Linked DNA regions of Macaca mulatta. The protein of the gene in region 1 purifies or fractionates together with the protein of each later gene. This does not show direct contact. Links are inferred from orthologs where the notes say so. Each region holds a gene or a part of one and is shown in the gene's direction. Other genes may lie near its edges.

What was found. Proteins that work in one complex are often made in the same cells at the same time.
Region 2: the proteins of AKAP13 (region 1) and PRKACA purify together in Homo sapiens (affinity purification with mass spectrometry; 3 studies listed by BioGRID and IntAct, with this or other methods). This does not show direct contact. The link is inferred for Macaca mulatta from reciprocal best matches to the Homo sapiens genes AKAP13 and PRKACA.

What each region holds. Positions count from the first base shown.
Region 1 is NC_133412.1:75,527,221-75,530,789, forward strand, and holds part of AKAP13 (A-kinase anchor protein 13), read left to right. Parts: intron 1-487; coding exon 488-682; intron 683-3,119; coding exon 3,120-3,281; intron 3,282-3,569. UniProt on the Homo sapiens protein: Scaffold protein that plays an important role in assembling signaling complexes downstream of several types of G protein-coupled receptors.
Region 2 is NC_133424.1:14,682,302-14,685,870, reverse strand, and holds part of PRKACA (cAMP-dependent protein kinase catalytic subunit alpha), read left to right. Parts: intron 1-805; coding exon 806-932; intron 933-1,021; coding exon 1,022-1,117; intron 1,118-1,209; coding exon 1,210-1,332; intron 1,333-3,569.

The sequences.
Region 1 (3,569 bases):
AGATAAGAGATTCCATTGCAGATGGCAGATCAGTAAAGTGTCCTGAGAAAGAATGGTAGGAAGAGAACCAGTGTCCTAAGTTAAAGAAGGAAACATGTTTTAAAGGAGGAAGTAATCATCAATGCTGAAAAAAACAACCTAAAAGACCTCATTGGATTCAATCGTGAAGTTGAGCTGGGAAACCAGTTGCAGAGTGGACAGAAGCTAGAGAGTAGTGGGCTGAGAAGTAAACAGGGGACAAGGGAGTGGAAGCAAAGTGCAAACTTGTTATGTCACAATTTCCTCGCCAGAAAGATCCAGAATGGTTTTCCAGATAGAAATCACAGAACAGAAACAATATTGCTGTCATGATGAAAAAGAAAGGGCAGTGGGTGGGGTGTCCTGTCTTGTCCCTTTCCATAAATTACCACAAGGTGGTGCTCATGTCTTAGTCATCTCGTAATACTAAACGCCAATCAAATCACAGATCATTTTCTCCATCCTGCAGAACAACTTCAACAGAAGGACCAACAAATCCTACTCTTGTTGGAAGAGAAGGAGATGATTTTCCGGGACATGGCTGAGTGCAGCACCCCCCTCCCAGAGGATTGCTCCCCGACACATAGCCCTAGAGTTCTCTTCCGCTCCAACACAGAAGACGCTCTCAAAGGAGGACCTTTAATGAAAAGTGCAATAAATGAGGGTAATTAACATTCAACATTGCCTCCCTTCATCTCCTCCCAGAGTGGTTTACACTCTAATATTATCTGCCAGTTTTTACTTTTTTACGTTAAAATAAAGCCGCACAAATGCAGAAAATTACCCAAAACAAATACTTCACTATAGTAAATAATCAGGTGAATATCCTTTTAACCACTACCCACATCAAGAAATTAAATGTGGCCAGACACCCTGAAGTGCCTTCGTCCACGTGCCCTGTCCCCATCATACCTCCCTCCCTCCAAAAGGAGCAGTTATTCTGGCCTTTTTTTAAATTAATCATTTATGCCTTTTTTTTTTTTTTTTTTTTTTGGCAGGATCTTGCTGCTCTGTTTCCCAGGCTGGAGTGCAGTGGTGCAATCTCAGCTCACTGCAGCCTCCCCATCCTGGGTTCAAGTGATTCTCCTGCCTCAGCCTTCCAAGTAGCTGGGACTACAGGTGTGCACCACCACACCCAGCTAATTTTTATATTTTTCATAGAGACAGGGTTTCACCATGTTGGCCAAGCTGGTCTCAAACTCTTGACCTCAAGTGATCCACCCACCTTGGCCTCTCAAAGAACTGATAGTATAGGCATGAGCCACCACGCCCGGCCGTTAATCACTTACTTATATATCTTTATGACTTAAGTGCCTACTCCTAAACATTATAGTTTAGTTTGCTTTTTTTTTTTTTTTTTTTTTTTGAGACGGAGTCTCGCTCTGTCACCCAGGCTGGAGTGTAGTGGCCGGATCTCAGCTCACTGCAAGCTCCGCCTCCCGGGTTTACGCCATTCTCCTGCCTCAGCCTCCCAAGTAGCTGGGACTACAAGCGCCCGCCACCTCGCCCAGCTAGTTTTTTTTTTTTTTTTAATTTTTTAGTAGAGAGGGGGGTTCCACCGTGTTTTCCAGGATGGTCTCGATCTCCTGACCTCGTGATCCACCCGTCTCGGCCTCCCAAAGTGCTGGGATTATAGGCTTGAGCCACCGCGCCCGGCCTACTTTGCTTATGTTTTTTTGATATGCATCTTAAAATTCTTAATTTACAGTTCCCCTCACCATCTTCTTTTTTCCCCATATAATTTATCTTTGAACAATATGAGCTTTTTGACTTAGAGAGTTTCCCACAGTTTGGATTTTATTCATACAGTTCTGTCCTCTGTTTCCTTCAGATTTGCAGCTGGATTCTCAGAGGCTTAATTAATCACTCAGACTTGATCTCTTTGGTAAATTGTGCCCTTATAGTGTGTTCTTTCATTGAGAGGGCATAAATTTAGTTGTCTCTTTTTTCGTGACATATAAGAAAAGATAAAAGGATAAACGCTTGATTATTTTTCCCCTCTATTTATTTACCAGTTTTTAAGACCATGAACATCTTCTGAAAGTGACCCATGGTTTTTATTATGGACTCATAAATTGAAGCATGTTTGATGGGGCCGGGCGCGGTGGCTCATTTCTATAATCCCAGCACTTTGGGAGGCCAAGGCGGGTGGTCAGGAGTTCAAGACCAGCCTGGCCCACATGGTGAAACCCCATCCCTACTAAAAATACAAAAATTAGCTGGGTGTGGTGACGTGCACCTGTAGTCCCAGCTCCTCGGGAGGCTGAGGCAAGAATGTGTTTTGCTCACTTATTTTATGCACATGTCTTTCTGATGTGCTTTTATTATCTGTAGAGAAGTTAGACCCTGTGTTTTCTCCACCTGTGTTTTCCCTTTATATGAGATTTGACTTCAATATTTTCTATTGCTCATTTTTATGTGAAATCAGTGTCTTAAGTTTACAGGTTCATATAGATTTTCTCACACCATAGGACTCGTCTATCATTTTTGTGTAGGTTTTCTTTTTTAACATGGCTTGTCTTATCAGATTTCCTGCTATTGGTTCCCTCCCTTATTCCACCTGGCCCTTCTTTTTCTTTATCTCTTTTTCTCCTGTTTAACTTTTATTCCATTTTCTCCACTTTCTTCTTTCTGTGAGCCATACCCTAGAAAAGAACCCTAGCGGGCCAGAGTTGAGATGCAAATTCTTAGACTACTCTAGCCCCTTGAACTCACTCCATATTAGCGAAGCCAGAAACCCTGACTGTTTTACTTGCTGTTCTCAAATCAGTCCATCTTACTTTCCAAGGAATATCTTCTGGCTGCTTTGGATATGATTCCAGAAGCCATGTAACTTCTAGTAAATTACTCTGCCTTCCCTGTACACTTTCAAATTTCCTAGCCTCTTGTATATAAAGTGGAAAGTCTCATCTCTAAATTTCTAGTAGAGTCCAACCAAAACACATACCCTGAGCTGAAACCCTTCTCTGAGCAAAGGAACTCACCCAGTCACTCTTTGGAAATTTCCAATCATGCTCTTTGTACATATCATGTATACTGTGAACTTGTTTTCTCCTCATTGAAAGATAAGATGTCAGCTTTGCATGTTTCCTTTATTCCAGTGGAGATCCTTCAGGGCTTGGTGAGTGGAAATCTGGGAGGCACACTTGGGCCAACTGTCAGCAGCCCCATTGAGCAAGAAGGTGCGGTCGGTCCTGTTTCCCTGCCCCGGAGAGCAGAAACCTTTGGAGGATTTGACAGCCATCAGATGAATGCTTCAAAAGGTAAATGATGCGAAGTCATGAGCTTTTATAGGCAATCCTTGACTGTCCCACACAACTCAAAATGATTTGTACTTTAGTAGCTACATTGTACTTTAGTAGCTACATCTCCGCTCCCATTCAATCAGTAAATTTCTTAGTGAGATCTTAAGACACTCAAGAGCCTGCCAATCAGACTCATATTCATTTTGAGTAACAAAAAAGATTTTCCTAAGATATCAGCTAAAAGAGTAATAATACATGTTCCTGCTTCCAGCTCTTCTGCATCCATAAAATTATTAGTAATCACTT
Region 2 (3,569 bases), on another chromosome or scaffold:
CCAACATGGTGAAACCCTGTCTCTACTAAAAATATAAAAATTAGCCAGGTGTGGTGGTGCATGCCTGTAATCCCAGCTACTCAGGAGGCTGAGGCAAGAGAATCACTTGTTTCCAGGAGGCGAAGGTTGCAGTGAGCCAAGATTATGCTACTGCACTCCAGCCTGGGCAACAGAGCAAGACTCCATCTCAAAAAAAATACTGAAAAAAAATATATATATATACACACACACACACATCTCTCCATACACACAGAGGTGAGATCTTGCCTGTGTTACCCAGGCTGGTCTCGAACTCCTGGGCTCAAGTGATCCTCCCACCTCGACCCTCCAAAATGCTGGGATTACAGGGATGAGACACCGCACCGGGCCAAATCCCTTTCTCGACACGTCACCTCCCCGCCAAAGGCAGTTGTCCTTTCTGACTTCAAACACCGTGCCTTTGTTTTGTCTGGGCGTGGACATGATATAAATGGAATCATTCATGTTCTTTTGTGTCTTCTTTTGCTTTAACATAATCAGTTTGAAATGCAGCCACGTTGTTGAGTGGATGCATGGGCTGTCCTGTTGGCAGTGGTGGTGGTGAGTGGAATTCCATTATATGACTATAGCTCAGTCTGTGATTCCATTCTCCTGTGGGTGGACCTACAGGCTATTTCCCGTGTCGGGCTATCTAAGAATCAGGTGCCTCGCATTTCTGACAGCTGGACTGGAGTTGTCTTCCTCTGGGGAAGGCTCTGCAGGGCCACCTGCTGGACCATTTTGGGGCATGGCCACTGACATTCACCTCTCCATCTGTCCCCATCAGCGAGCCCCATGCCCGTTTCTACGCGGCCCAGATCGTCCTGACCTTCGAGTATCTGCACTCGCTGGATCTCATCTACAGGGACCTGAAGCCGGAGAATCTGCTCATTGACCAGCAGGGATACATTCAGGTGCCCACCAGGCCGGGCGAGGGGCAGCCCTGGGGAAGCCGTGGCCTGGACCCTCCCTTCCTGCCAACTGCCTGTTCTTGTGCCCACAGGTGACAGACTTCGGTTTCGCCAAGCGCGTGAAGGGCCGCACTTGGACCTTGTGCGGCACCCCTGAGTATCTGGCCCCTGAGATTATCCTGAGCAAAGTAGGCGCCTCCCAGCCCTCCCCTTCCCCTGAGGCCGGCTCTGCTCTCCTGCTCGCCCCCTCCTCACCCTGTGCCCCCCCATCTTGCTCCAGGGCTACAACAAGGCTGTGGACTGGTGGGCCCTGGGGGTTCTTATCTATGAAATGGCCGCTGGCTACCCGCCCTTCTTCGCAGACCAGCCCATCCAGATCTATGAGAAGATCGTCTCTGGGAAGGTGAGGTCCGGCTGCGGGGACACAGCCCTGGAAGAAACAGACCCTCCCCTGCTCACTCATCCTACTCCCTGGGGAGCCCTGCTTGTTGTCAGAATAATCTAGAAGTTCCTTAAGTCAGGCCAGGTGGTGAAGCTGGACGCACCGGCAACACTGAGGCCAACACCTTGAGGCCCCCTCACTGTCCAGCCCCAACCCCGCGGTTCCAGAATCCCAAGAGCTTCCAAAACCCCAAGCCTCACAGAAACTTCTTGGCCGCAGAACACAAACCGCCCTGCCAGGCAACCCTCTTCGTCACTCCTTGTCCCAGTTAGTGTGAGTTTTCGCAAATTCCAAGGCAGAAAAACCAGTGTATTTGGTTCCTGTTCCCAGGTGCTGTCCGCAGCCTCACCAAGGAGTGCTCTCACTTAGCGTTTACAGCCCATGCTTCCTCTCCCAAACCCAGACTTGCCTAACTCTGAGGGTTCGGATGAGGGGTGCTGAAACCACCTCAGCTCACATCTGTGACAGGCGCAAAGTGCCTGCCATCCACCAGGCCCTAGAATCCCCCCATCAGTCACACCCTGAGATGGTGGCACCCTCTGCAGGAGAGGTGAGGAAACAGGCTGGGAAAAGGGATGTGTCTTGGCCAAGATCACACTTTGGTGAGTAGGTAATCATCGTAGGCACTAAGAGCAGGAGAGAGGTTGGGGACCCCACCTGTGCCCTCAGCTCAACCACCTTGCTGGGAAGACCCGACCATCCCCCGACTTGGTCCAGCATCTCCTACACAGGAGCTTTTGGTCGGCCCAGAGTCACGACACTGTGGTGGCAGCGTCCTCAGGCTCAGCCTGGGCCCCAGTCCGGACCCCAGTCCCAGCTCTGCCACTGATTGGCTTTGAAACTTTGCATTTGGGTGCAATGGCTCACGCCTGTAATCCCAGCACCTTGGGAAGTGGAGGCTTCAGGCCAGCAGTTCCAGACCAGCCTGGGTAACATAGCCAGACCCCATCTCTTAAAAAAAAAAAAAAAAAAAAAGCTAAAAATTAGCTGGGCGTGATGGTGCACCCCTGTATTCCCAGCTCATCAGGAAGCTGAGGCAGGAGGATCACTTGAGCCCAGAAGTTCAAGGCTGCAGTGAGCTGTGACTGTGCCACTGCAAACTAGCCTGGGTCACAGAGCCAGACACAGTCTTTTAAAAAAATTCAGGCAAGTGGGGTGCCCGGCTGGACACATAGCATCACTAAAAGGGAAAGATGAAGGCCTGGCACGATGGCTCATGCCTGTAATCCCAGCACTTCGGGAGGCTGAGGCAGGTGGATCACAAGGTCCGGAGTTCAAGACCAGCCTGGCCAACATAGTGAAACCCCATCTCTACTAAAAATACAAAAATTAGCTGGGCATGGTAGCAGGCACCTGTAATCCCAGCTACTTGGGAGGCTGAGGCCAAAGAATTGCTTCAACCCAGGAGACGGAGGTTGCAGTGAGCCAAGATCACGCCATTGCACTCCAGCCTGGGCGACAGAACAAGACTCCGTCTCAAAAAAAAGGAAAGATGAGGCATCTGCCATGGGTGGAATAGAAACTGCCAATAAAATGGCCCAGAGTAGGCCGGGCACGGTGGCTCACGCCTGTAATCCCAGCACTTTGGGAGGCCGAGGCGGGCGGATCACGAGGTCAGGAGTTTAAGACCAGCCTGACCAACATGCTGAAACCCTGTCTCTACTAAAAATACAAAAATTAGCCGGCTGTGGTGGCGTATGCCTGTAAATCCCAGCTACTCAGGAGGCAGAGGTTGCAGTGAGCTGAGATTGCGCCACTGCACTCTAGCCTGGGCAACAGAGCAAGACTCCATCTCAGAAAAAAAAAAAAAGAAAGAAAAAAAAGAAAATGGTCCAGAGTGGAAAAAAAGAAAGAAAGAAAAAAAATCACAGAAGATCCCATAGGAGAAGATGCACATGACTCCCTTCTTTGTAGCATTTTCTAGTTCCCCCACACCCTCAGTGGTGTTATCTCCCTCGTGCAGCCCTGGGATATCTGCCCCACATCTGAGAGGCATGCACAGGCCCAGAGAGGTTAAGGGCCATGGCCAAGGTCACAAAGCGTGTAAGAGGCACAGCAGGAACAAGAAGTCGTTTCTTGCAACTATTAACTCCAGTGATGACTTGCATACAAGGCTATGGGCTCAGAGTGTATGGGGAAAACTTTCAAGAAGAGTCGAGCTGCACTTTAAAGAATGGAAGAGCCTTAGCTATGCAGAA